Neurospora crassa OR74A: one gene and its partners. The protein of the gene in region 1 interacts with the protein of each later gene in a biochemical or structural test. Links are inferred from orthologs where the notes say so. Each region holds a gene or a part of one and is shown on either strand. Other genes may lie near its edges. The genes, in order: prm-1, NCU03702 and NCU16757.

Region 1 (3,747 bases):
GTAACCACCAAGCTCGAACAAAGATGATTCAACGTCCGGCTATGCGTTGTTTGATTGGCGCTTACTACCACCAACCTCAGCAAAGTTCATTTCGACTTTGGTCGGTTGATTAAAGTGCGGGTGTTCAATTCAACTTCGTCTGACGGGAACATCAGAAAATCATGCCTTGTTGTGGTATAGGTCGAGATTTCTCCATTTTCAACAAATTAACAAACTATACAACTCGTACTCAACTCTTTCTCCGTTGGGTATCGCATCAAGTATTCAGCATCACTATCTCATGATATCTCATTGTGATCAGTTATGAGCATTCCGTTGATGTTATCTTCCGGATGCTTTTGCAATCACGCACCCAACCCTGCGGGCCGAACGTATCGCGTTGTGATTTCGTGCTTTAATCAAGCATTGACTCATGTTTTCTCTGTGTATTACAGAGTAAGAGAGTTCCCTTATATGTATGTCTCTTCTTTCTTCCGCGCGCGCTTCCTTTCCGCTGCTGGATATCTAAGAAAACCCCTGGTCCCGCTAGTGAGTTCGTAAAAAGCAAAATATATGAAAAACACAAAACCCAGGTTAAAAAGCAACCCCTTCTCTTTTAAGACGCCGTGCAATTCCCAATACCCCCAAAAGCTTCGTTCGTGAATACTGTGAGCTCAACCACATCTCTTCGACCATCTCATGGACAAGGGGCGGCTTTTCAGCTCGCATCGTCCATTTGACTCGTCGATTCGACACTTTTGTCCGGCAGATCTGCAATCAAATAAAATACTAGCACATCTTGTACAAGCACCTGCCCTCAGCCTGCCTCGTGGGGTCTTGGTTCTCGAACTTGTAATCGACGGTGATATCAAGATCACGCTTGTTCTTCTGGTTGGGGCGGTTGTGGAGCGAGCACTGAACCTTCTCGCCCTGCTGGACGGTGAGGACGTCCTTGAGGTAGAAGACGGTCTGCTTCCAGTGGGTGTACTGGGTGTGGGGACCGGTCGAGAAGCGGATGGGCTTGTGGCAGGCAGTGAAGTCAATGTCGAACCAGGCGACAAGGGCGTGGATGAAGTCATCGCGTCTGGCGACGAGCTCGAAGTTGGTCTTGAAAGCCAGGTCGGCAGTGGTGCAAGTGTAAAGGTCGAGAGTCAAGATGTTGACGGGGTCAGTGACGACGGTCTTAACGTCAACAGTGTCGACAAGAGGCTCGGAGAGAGCAGTCTCCTTAAGAGGGCTGTAATCGAATCCGTAGACGTTGTCCCAGACTGGTAAACCGGTGTCAGTAGGAAGTTCTTCACAAAATCGAAAGCAAAAAAACCAGGGGCAGGAAACATACAGCCAATCTTCTCATCCTTGTAGTCACCGTCCTCGATACCAGCAATGAAGATGGTAGCCTTGTCGGGGAAGATAAGACCGCCGGGAGCCAGGTAACGGTCACGGGCGTAGAGGACAGTGTCCAACATGGACTCGTAGAGGAGGAAATAACCCATCCACTCAGAGATGATGATGTCAACCTTGGGGAAGGGAAGCTCGATCTCCTCCATCTTGCCCTGGATCAGGGTGATCTTGTCGGAGAGACCGTTGACCTTGACAATCTCACGAGCCTTGAAGATGATGGTGGACATGTCAACACCAATAACGTGCTTGGCGCCGGCCTTAGCGGCAAACCTGTGAGAAGAGAAGACGGTTAGCAGGCTGTTCCACCGTTTTTGGATTGCAGTGCTCGGCGCATTCCAGGACCGCCAGAGCTGCAGGTTTGCGTGATGCAGGGAGTGGGGACGTACATGGAGAGGATACCAGTACCGCAACCGACATCGAGAACGATCTTGTCCTTAAAGAGATGCTTGTTCTGGACGATAGAGTGCATGTATGACTTGGTTCTGACCTCGTCCTTCAACATTTCCTCGTGGATGCCTTTGTCGCGCAACAGGTCCAGGTTAGCAACAGTCAGACTATGAACGGCCACGAGGCCAACTAGGAAGCGCGCAGTCCGTGGACCCCGCGATAAGCGGATGGAGGTGTCTCACCATGGTGGTTATAGCTAGAGAACGAAGTCATGTTAGCTTTGATCTGTCTCTACCACCATATAACAACAACGAGAAGAGACGAGACGGTCATGTTCGTACCTGTTGAAGTAGTGCTGCTCGGCGTGATCCATGCTCTTGAGCTTCTGCTCGGCAACCTCAATGTCCATCTGATCGTTGGCCGCCATCTTGACTGTTGTTGATGCTGCTGTTGGTGCTGTTTGTGTATGGGAAAACAGACAAGAATAAAAGATGAATTGGTGTAAAGAAACCAAAAGGAATCAAAGAAGAGGAAAATGTAAAGCTGGAAAATTTGCAGGGCAGCTCAGCGATGGAGATAAAAAGTGGGAAGGAGGATGGAGAGGCAGGTTCGAAGGGGAGCCTGATGCTTGTGAAGTTTTCTTCGTGTGCCGCAATGGCAATTGCCCAGACGGGTCCAGCATGGCCTTTCCTTGCCTCAACTTTTTGCCTGGCCCCGTCAGAGATTGGGTTGCCAAATCAGATCCATACCCCACTTCAACTTGGGTTGTGCTGGGCTCCAGAGATGGAGAGGGAGGCAGTTCCTGGGTGGGGTGGGGTCCTGGGGGGCTTTCCCGCCTGCCCGCAAGAGTACCCGCCCGAGTCGTCACCCACACGGGCCCGACACCTCACTTACACGCGTAGGTACAGGGCTGTCCGACATCCGCGCAGGCACTGACAGGCACGCCTGGCACAACCTACTATGTACCTAGTACACTAGTACAGTCTGCGCGCCGGGCCCCCCGAACATGGGGACTACAACTGAAACCGCTTTATCGCATTATCCGATCTCTTGCCCCCCGCGACGCCGTCCCATCTCCAGGCTTGTCCCCTTTTGGATCTGGCGTGCCTAGCTCGGTCTTGGCAGTCTGGGCCGCTGATGGGCCCTTTTGGACCCTTTTTGGAGCACTCCACCTCACTGGCCCCCTCCCCTGGTGCTTGCCACTTTGGCGCTAGGTCTAGCCCGTGCTCCCATTGATGTATCTGACATCAGGTGTAACCCCAACGTGGGTTTGGATATCTTGAAGGGTGTTGTATTGTAGAGATCTGGCATTTCCCTTTCAACGCCATTCAGATCCATGATAAATGAGCCATCACTTCTCAACCTTCTTTCGAACACTCAAGCGACTAAGAGATCTAACTGCCCCTTGCCCTCTCGAGTCAGCATCCCAGTAAGGACAAGCCATTTTCCTTCAGCAAACGCCCAGATATATATAGTGATACTTTTCGTCTTGGTATTAGTCTCCTCATCCATCGCTTTTCTGGCCTGCCACATCTAACTCCCGTTCAATGTACACATGGCCATTATCTATCCTCTAGAGTAACCCAACATAACCGAGATAGATCAGGATACTCCACATGTTGACAAGCCTCATCATGATATGCTCTGTTTTTCCCCATAACATCCCCTTGTTTTCTTCATGCTCCTGTAATTAAGCCAGGCCTGCCATCTGCATCAGGCGAGTGCCAACCTTCAAGTTGGCGTACTCATAAGCCTTCGATTCCGGTGGAAAGGTACCATTGGCGGCCCAGAGATCAATCAAAGGCTGCATTGGCTCAAGCTCGGCCGGCTTGAGCATATCGAGGGCGGTCGCTGTCAGCACAAAATGGCTGAAACAGCTGTTGAGTTGCTTCTCCAAGTTCAAATGGTAGAAGGGCTCCGTAAAGTGGGCCCAGTAAAGGTGAGCGTAGACGCGGAACATCTGGAGGAAGATGGTCTGGC
Region 2 (3,747 bases), on another chromosome or scaffold:
AAATTTGCTCATCAACAAGCGAAACCAACGGCCCAGCATCCTCTTGATCCTGGATAGACTCTAGGCATGTTTAAATAATCCTCAAAGCCATGTAATGACTGGCTTGCAGTACCCTTGCGTCCCCAGGCCCAAACAATCTCCTTTGAAACTCGAATGGCCAGAATAGTCTCAGTTTTCGACGTGATACCCTGATGAAAGGGGAGGGACTCTCAGTTCGCAGATTTCAAACGCCATAAAGACGAACCAAGCTGTCGAGCATTTTAAGCGCCGATAAAAGCAACCTCTGCTTGACTATCCAGCGCCCTTCTCGTTCTTAGGGTGATTGACTGGTGATCGTTCTTGATGTGTTGTAGGCTGGCCAATTTCGCTGGTGAACAGGAGGTTCGTTGCGCGGTGACTTAGGAGTCGTGACGAGATCGTGAAAGGCGGCGTAAGATGGAAGCAACCGGGGTCACTCCGGATATCAGTCTAAGAACCCTGGTGCTTTATTCCCACAATGCTAAAACAAGGCAGATACCCAAACGCCATTCGCCGTTCCAGATTTACAAAACCATCCTGCCAGTAGAACACCGAATTATGTGAAGGTTCCAGAACAGAGCAACGAAGATAGAACAGTACTAATTCGAAACTCAGTTATCGACGAACTCCTTCTGCTGGTAGACGCAAGAAACCATGGCGTGGTCACGCTCGTAAGGCTCTGTGGGTGATTGTTAGTTATTGTTGGCTCTATCAACCAAAAGGGAAGCGGATGGACGTACCAAGAGTCAACTGCTCCTTGGGGAAAAACTTGTCCTCACGGAGCTTCTGGACCTCAGAGGCGAAGACCTGCTCGGGAGGAGCAGTGGAGTCAATGCAAGAAGCCTTGATAGAGATGAGAAGACCACCACCCTGCTTCAAGAAGAGCTTGGCGTTGATGCCGACAATTCTGAAATGTGTTAGTGTCAGGCACATACAGTGTCAAGGATCTGTATAAGTCGGCTTACCTGGCCTGATCGGGCTGGGCAACATCGGCGAAGATGACATCGACCATGGGGAGCAGCATGCGGTAAGCCATGGGCTTACGGGCATCCTCAACGATGGGGATGACGTTGGTGCGGCGAGTAGCCATGTTGATGAGGTCACGGCCGGAACGGTGAGAGAACTCGACGGCGTAAACGGAACCAGTAGGACCGACGATATCGGCAACGTGAGAGACCGAGGTACCGGAGGCAGCACCGAGGTAGAGGACCTTGGAACCAGGCTTCATATAGATGGTTTCAAGACCACCGAGGATACCGGCAGCAAGCTTCGAACGGAAAGGGTTCCAAATCTGCAAAGTCCAATGTTAGTCTTTGTCTGAGGCCACAAGCTGGAAAGCCTGGAAAACGTACGCGGTACTCAGTCTTGGTGGAAGCACCACCTTCCTCCTTAGAGGCGTTCTCGACAGAGATTCTCTTCTCGCCATAGACGGACTCGCCAGGGACAAGGTTGACGGTAGCGAGGAGATCCTCCTTACCACCACGAGCGACGAAGACGCCCTTGTGACGGTGAGGCTCGACGATGACCTTCTTGCCAGCAGCACCACCCTTGGCGCCACCGCGGGCACCACCGCGACCACGGGTAGCACTATACTCATAATGTCAGTCAATGTCTTTGGAGTAATCAAGGGTTTTGAACACAAGACGTACCCGCCACGGCCACCACCGCGAGGACCGCCACGACCACGGGGAGCACCACCACCACGGCCGCCTGTTAAGTCATTGTCAGTAAAGTGTTGCGTTAATGTGGTTGCTGTTGCCATCGCATGTTGAGTCGAGTTGCGATATGAAGTTCGACTGAAATCGCCATCCTACTACGAGAAGTCAAGAGGCATGCATGGCGACCACGGGCCGCAGCAGACGCAGAGACATCTCTCAAGATGACGAACAGAAGCAACGACATAACCGCAAAGACCATTCAGGCGATGGCATTGAGGCCAAACTCACCACCGAAGCCACCACGGCTACCGCCACGGGCGCCGCCTCTGCCACCACGATCACCACCGAATCCACCACGACCACCGCCACGGGCGCCGCCTCTGCCACCACGCTCGAAGCCCATTTTTATAGAATGTGTCGGTATTGATAAGTCGGAGTCGGTATGAGTTGCGATTCTGGGCCGAAACGCGTTGTAAGATCAGTCGTGCGAGGCACAATGGGTTTAGAGTTGTCGCGCGGCGCTGTCGAGGACTCGGAAAAGAGCTTTTGCTGGAGCTGGGTGCAAAATTTCCTGGACATGGATTGAAAGAAAAAAAAGCGGGGCACGAAGTCTCATCGCTGGAGCACTTTTTTTTCCGGTCGAGGCCTTCTGCCTTTGCAATTGGCTGTCGTCCTGGCGTGGCGGTCGAGGCTCTCCAGTTTGTTGCGGATGCTATCGTGCACGGCCGGCAGTCCAGGAGGCAGGCTGTTATCGGCGCTAGCACTTACTGTCCCCGCGTGCACGTGCCTCAGGCAAAGTGACGGTCCGCACGAGCCACCTGCGCAGTGCCCACAGAGCCCTAATCGCGAAAATCGGTTTTTGTACGCCAAAATTGGAACCCATCACCACCTCTGAACATCACACTTGGTCGATTCCCCGTCCTCTCATCGACAAGCAGGCAAGATGGTGAGTAAATCCCTGCGAAATCCGCCGAACGAGAGAATCGCCGCCGTTATTTTGCTTCAGGACAGTTTTCGGGCTTCTGCAGCCGAAATGACGACGAAAGTCTCAACGGACGACAATGACGGCTTTGCGAGCATTGCGAGCACTTGGAGGAGAGGGAATCGCTGACCGAGTCTTGTTCAAAATCGCAGGTTCGGTACGCTGCGACTGAGATTGCCCCGGCTAAGTCCGCCCGCTCGCGCGGCTCTTACCTCCGTGTCTCCTTCAAGAACACCCGTGAGACCGCCCAGGCCATCAATGGCTGGAAGCTCCAGCGTGCTCAGAAGTTCCTCGAGAACGTTCTTGAGAAGAAGGAGGCTGTCCCCATGAGACGCTACGCTGGTGGCACCGGCCGCGCCGCCCAAGGTACGACTTACTCGATATTTACATGCACAAACACACCCGAACCGGTACATCATGCGACGACGACGACGACAGTGGGGAGGACAAAGTGGCGGGGGAATAGGGGGGCATTGTCAGCATGATGGAACCGCGACCGACCGACACGAAACCGCAATCGAATGGAGGACATAGAAGACACGGTGCTGACCGTTTCTTCGTCATATAGGCAAGCAGTTCGGTGTTTCCCGCGCCCGCTGGCCCGCCAAGTCCGCCGAGTTCCTTCTCGGTCTCCTCAAGAACGCTGAGGCCAACGCCGATGCCAAGGGTCTTGACACTGGCAACCTCGTTGTCAAGCACATCCAGGTCAACCAGGCCCCCAAGCAGCGCCGCCGCACTTACCGCGCTCACGGTCGCGTACGTCAAACCCGGAGATACCCCCCTGATTTCTGCTTCTGCGCCGGCAGATAGACGATCAAGCCGGTCATTGGCTAACAGTTATGTTTTAGATCAACCCCTACATGTCCAACCCCTGCCACATCGAGCTCATCCTCACTGAGGCCGATGAGGTCGTCCAGAAGTCCGAGGCCGTTGTCCGCGAGGAGGCTCACCTTTCCTCCCGCCAGCGTGGCGCTCGCGTCCGCCGTGCCATCACTGCCGCTTAAATGCGCTTTGATAGCTAGGTGATTGGACGAGGGGATGTTTTGATTGAGGGCTTCACTTTTTTTCCGGAACGGTGTACGCGAGCAT
Region 3 (3,747 bases), on another chromosome or scaffold:
GTCTCTTCCAAAGCCCACGAAAGATGGATTAAAGAGCCGAATGTAACGTATCTTTTGTTCCAAGGCATTGAGAGAATTCCTCCACCCCCTTTTCCGGAGTTGGTTGACTATGCTTCTTTCGTTTTGTAGAACTCGGACAATCACCAGATTGAGCGCCGCAAGTGTGAAAGTGAGGAGGCCGACAATGTTTGCGGCTGTGGAGAGTTTGCTGTCCTGAGGCTCAGAGTCGTCAGCCATATTGCAATCCTGGAGAGATGATACCTATGCATGCAAATGATGTAATGATATGGAGGAACGAGTTAGTGAAGGGGCCTCAACAATTGACATCGTTAGGGGAAGGTCGAGTTGCGTTTTGATCTATATACGGCTATCGCTGAACAAGGTTACAAGGACATGCGCCGGAACTAACAGTCCACCACCACGGGTCAACCTCAGTCCACACGGACCGCAGCCTGCACGGGCCCTTTAGAGTCACAAGCCATAATGACCCAAGCAGCCACTCAAGCCAATGGCAAAATGCCGGAAAGACGGGGAGGCGGACAACCATGCGCTGCTGTCTGGGTACATTGGTAACGGCTCGTGACCTGTTGTGCGCATAGTCGGCGGAAATAGGCACGAAGAGGCTCGACAATTCTTGATTCTTTTTCGCGAGGGGTGTTGTGGAAGTTGCGGCGTTGGAAGAATGATGGGTAGGAACACCTCGGACGGAGTGGGTGAAGACGAAGAAGAGGTTTCGGGTTGCGAGAGGTTCGTCGTTCGAAGGGGTCAGTTGCGGGCCGTTGATGCTTGGGGTTCAGTCGGTGCTATATCTGACGGGTTGGCGCTCGATATGCGGTCGATGTGTGGTTGCTGCATGGTCGATCATATTGGACTGGGGCCTCTGCTTACCCAGCTAGGCTACCGAAATCCAGTCCAACCCGAGGTTCAGGAGGATGTCGTGCATCTTTGAGGATCCCATTCGACGGCGGCGGTGACGTATACAACTGGGTACTGCCCTTGATTGTACGCAAGTGACCGGACACATAGCTGTCTGTCCGAACATGACCTGGTGCCTGTGCCAAGGACATTTTAATGCCCCAATTTCATCCACCGTCAACGTGAAGGCTTGTGAAGCCAGATCCAGATGCGCTCAGTTTGATGTGTTGTAGTCCAAAGAAACCGAAATTAGCAGACAGAGAAAACCGAGAGATGCCTACAGAGATAAAAACACAACTTGCCGAACCCTCCTGATGCGGCAGAAAGAATTTGTCCCTTCCATAACGCCACAAGCCATAGCCATTTTGAGGACCATGTTTAACAAAACCCAAGAACCTGGTAAAGCAACAAGTCTTTCTTCCGCTCCCTTTCCTTTCCAAGCAGCGCCAGCAGCAGCACCACTGGTTGGTGTCTTCGTCGTCGTCGTCGTCGTCACTCCTTCGCAACCGCTTAGTAGCCACCACGACCACCGCGGCCGCCACCGCGGGAGAAACCGCCGCCACCACGGCCACCACCACCCCTCGAGAAGCCGCCGCTGCCACCGCGACCGCCGCCCCTGCTGAAACCACCACCGCCGCCGCGGGAGAAGCCACCACCACCACCGCGAGAGAAGCCACCGCCGCCGCCGCGAGAGGAGAAGCCGCCACGGCCGCCACCGCGGGCACCGCCTCTGGGACCGCCACGACCACCAGCACCACCACGGCCAGCCTTCTTCACCTTGGGGGCGCCGAGAACCTTGGGCTTGGGGAGGAAACGCTCGAGAGGGAGGAGCTTCTCGGAGCCGACGAAGACCTTGTCGCCGGGCTTGAAGGAAGTAGCGACGATGCCGGTTTGGGGCTTGACGGTGAAGTAAACCTGAAAGAAGGAGAGGAGTGTTAATTTGATGTGCTATGGTTCATGTTTCGGAGGGAAGTGCGCACCTGGTTGAGAGGACCGAGAACCTCATCGATCTTGCCGATGGGGGTCTTGTTCTCAAGGAAGACCTGAGCGTTGAAATGGGGGATCTTGGGGTTGGTGGACTTGTAGAACATCTCGCCCTCGACGGCGTGCTCGAAGGTGCCGAGCTCGAGAACCTGGGCGGGGGGACCATCGTCGCGCTGACCGAAGCCACCACGGCCGCCTGTTGTAGGATATCTATGTTAGTTGTCATTGAACATTGGGGAAGAAGTATGGGTGAAAAGGTAAATCGCCCTGAGTGGCGCCAATGGTTGACGGCAAAGTGCGACCAAGGCGACGACATCAAGGTGTGCGATAACGGTTGATAATAGAAGAATAATGCGGCGTACCTCTGAAGCCGCCACGGCCACCGCGGTCACCACCTCCTCCACGACCTCTGAAAGACATGATTTGTTGGTTGGATTGGGTTGTTTGTTGAAATGGGAATACGGCAAGGGTGCGTCTTGCGTCTCCTCGCGCGTCAGTGAATTGGAGGACCGTCGGGTTCGGAGTGAGATGTTGACAATGATCGTTTCGCCGGCGCAGACAATTGAAATTTTTCCGTGTTCCTGGAAGACTGAAAGAGTAGCAATTTTTCCCGGCCGGCAATCGTCTGCAGATGTCCACCACCCCACCTAAGCCAGTCCCATTTTCAAACGGTTCCTGGCGGCGCATTGGCTCAATGCGAATTGTGGATGGACCAGGGTTAGTGGCTGCTGTGGGCTGTGGGTCCGTGCCCGGGGCCCTAAGAAACGCGAATGTGGGGATTTCGACATCACTTTGTGCAGCCCTGTAACAGTTTGACGGGAACACTTTCCGACTTCATCGATGCATTTTGCAGCTTCAAGTACAGCAGCTGTTCGCCTCATCACACTACACGACGCTCTGAAATTACCGTAATCGTATGGACATACTTGACCTCACCGCCCTCGACCCGGATCTCATGGCTATCCGGCATATTCCCCAGCGCATCAAACGAGCACAGCACGTCAACCGAACCCATCACCTCATCGATGACATATCGCCGATTTCCGTTGCGCTTTGAACTGCCTCCTCTCGGTAACTGAACACCACACGGTCTGGTATACTGCGATCCTTCAACGCGTTCACAGTCGGCCCCCCATGGAATACTATCAGCCGCCTTTGCATCCGTCCACATGTCGAGATAAGCATCCCCGACCTTTCTCAACAGTTCTCGACTTGGCCGATTCGCCGCCGTCTCAATGACGCCCCAGTTCTCCTTCTGGATGTACCCGAACGTCTTTTGGGCGTTGAAGAACAAGGACCCCGTCGTGGCAGCGATGGTGTCGATAGATGAGATGGTTGATGTGTCTCCATCGGCTGGATGACGGATCTGGGTTGCCGTGACATAGGGCTTGGAGTTGGAACCGCTCGCCAATGAGATGATCATGGTGTAGCTGGCGCAGGCAATGGTGTCGGCCGTTGATCGGTTGAGGCTGATGTTGTGCGACTGGCTGAGGATGCCGCGCTTGATGTCGGCTGCCTTGTTGTTTTCCTGGTAGGCAAAGTTGCTCAAGGTGAGTTGGAGGCCGTCAAGTCTGCCGGCGGAGAAGGCGTCTACATAACTGTTGGCTGCTGCTAGCAGTCCCTCCCGGGTACATTTCGCGAAAACAGAAGTAATGAGTGCAAGGAAGCAGACAACGGTGAACCAGACCGTGTCTTTGGCAGATCTGGACAGCATCGTGATGTGAAGGTAGGTGCTTGGCTGTGATTAGAGTAGCTGTTTCGGCCATGGACAACTTTGGTTCACGATGCTCGGCTGAGTGCTTAAGTACTCACTTCCAGGAGCCGATAGCTTCTGCCGAGTCTTCATCC

Evidence for each region.
Region 2: of the proteins of prm-1 (region 1) and NCU03702, one has a biochemical effect on the other in vitro, tested with the Saccharomyces cerevisiae proteins (3 studies listed by BioGRID). The link is inferred for Neurospora crassa OR74A from reciprocal best matches to the Saccharomyces cerevisiae genes HMT1 and NOP1.
Region 3: of the proteins of prm-1 (region 1) and NCU16757, one has a biochemical effect on the other in vitro, tested with the Saccharomyces cerevisiae proteins (2 studies listed by BioGRID). The link is inferred for Neurospora crassa OR74A from reciprocal best matches to the Saccharomyces cerevisiae genes HMT1 and GAR1.

Annotation. Positions count from the first base shown.
Region 1 is NC_026501.1:554,675-558,421, reverse strand, and holds prm-1 (protein arginine N-methyltransferase 1), read right to left. Parts: upstream 2,459-3,747; 5' UTR 2,195-2,458; coding exon 2,109-2,194; intron 2,024-2,108; coding exon 2,010-2,023; intron 1,897-2,009; coding exon 1,767-1,896; intron 1,651-1,766; coding exon 1,319-1,650; intron 1,248-1,318; coding exon 769-1,247; 3' UTR 172-768; downstream 1-171. Other genes in the region: mob-2b (protein kinase activator), read right to left, coding at 3,458-3,747. UniProt on the Saccharomyces cerevisiae protein: S-adenosyl-L-methionine-dependent protein-arginine N-methyltransferase that catalyzes both the mono- and asymmetric (type I) dimethylation of the guanidino nitrogens of arginine residues in a variety of RNA-binding proteins such as heterogeneous nuclear ribonucleoproteins (hnRNPs) and small nuclear ribonucleoproteins (snRNPs).
Region 2 is NC_026505.1:2,139,881-2,143,627, forward strand, and holds the start of NCU03702 (rRNA methyltransferase NOP1), read right to left. Parts: upstream 2,367-3,747; 5' UTR 2,080-2,366; coding exon 1,965-2,079; intron 1,729-1,964; coding exon 1,668-1,728; intron 1,606-1,667; coding exon 1,371-1,605; intron 1,310-1,370; coding exon 984-1,309; intron 926-983; coding exon 759-925; intron 698-758; coding exon 630-697; 3' UTR 1-629. Other genes in the region: NCU03703 (60S ribosomal protein L17), read left to right, coding at 2,620-2,622, 2,811-3,024, 3,227-3,414, 3,507-3,662.
Region 3 is NC_026504.1:1,399,998-1,403,744, reverse strand, and holds NCU16757 (H/ACA ribonucleoprotein complex subunit 1), read right to left. Parts: upstream 2,501-3,747; 5' UTR 2,320-2,500; coding exon 2,262-2,319; intron 2,096-2,261; coding exon 1,896-2,095; intron 1,831-1,895; coding exon 1,426-1,830; 3' UTR 310-1,425; downstream 1-309. Other genes in the region: NCU07902 (hypothetical protein), read right to left, coding at 1-237; NCU16756 (hypothetical protein), read right to left, coding at 2,780-3,613. UniProt on the Saccharomyces cerevisiae protein: Non-catalytic component of the H/ACA small nucleolar ribonucleoprotein (H/ACA snoRNP), which catalyzes pseudouridylation of rRNA and is required for ribosome biogenesis.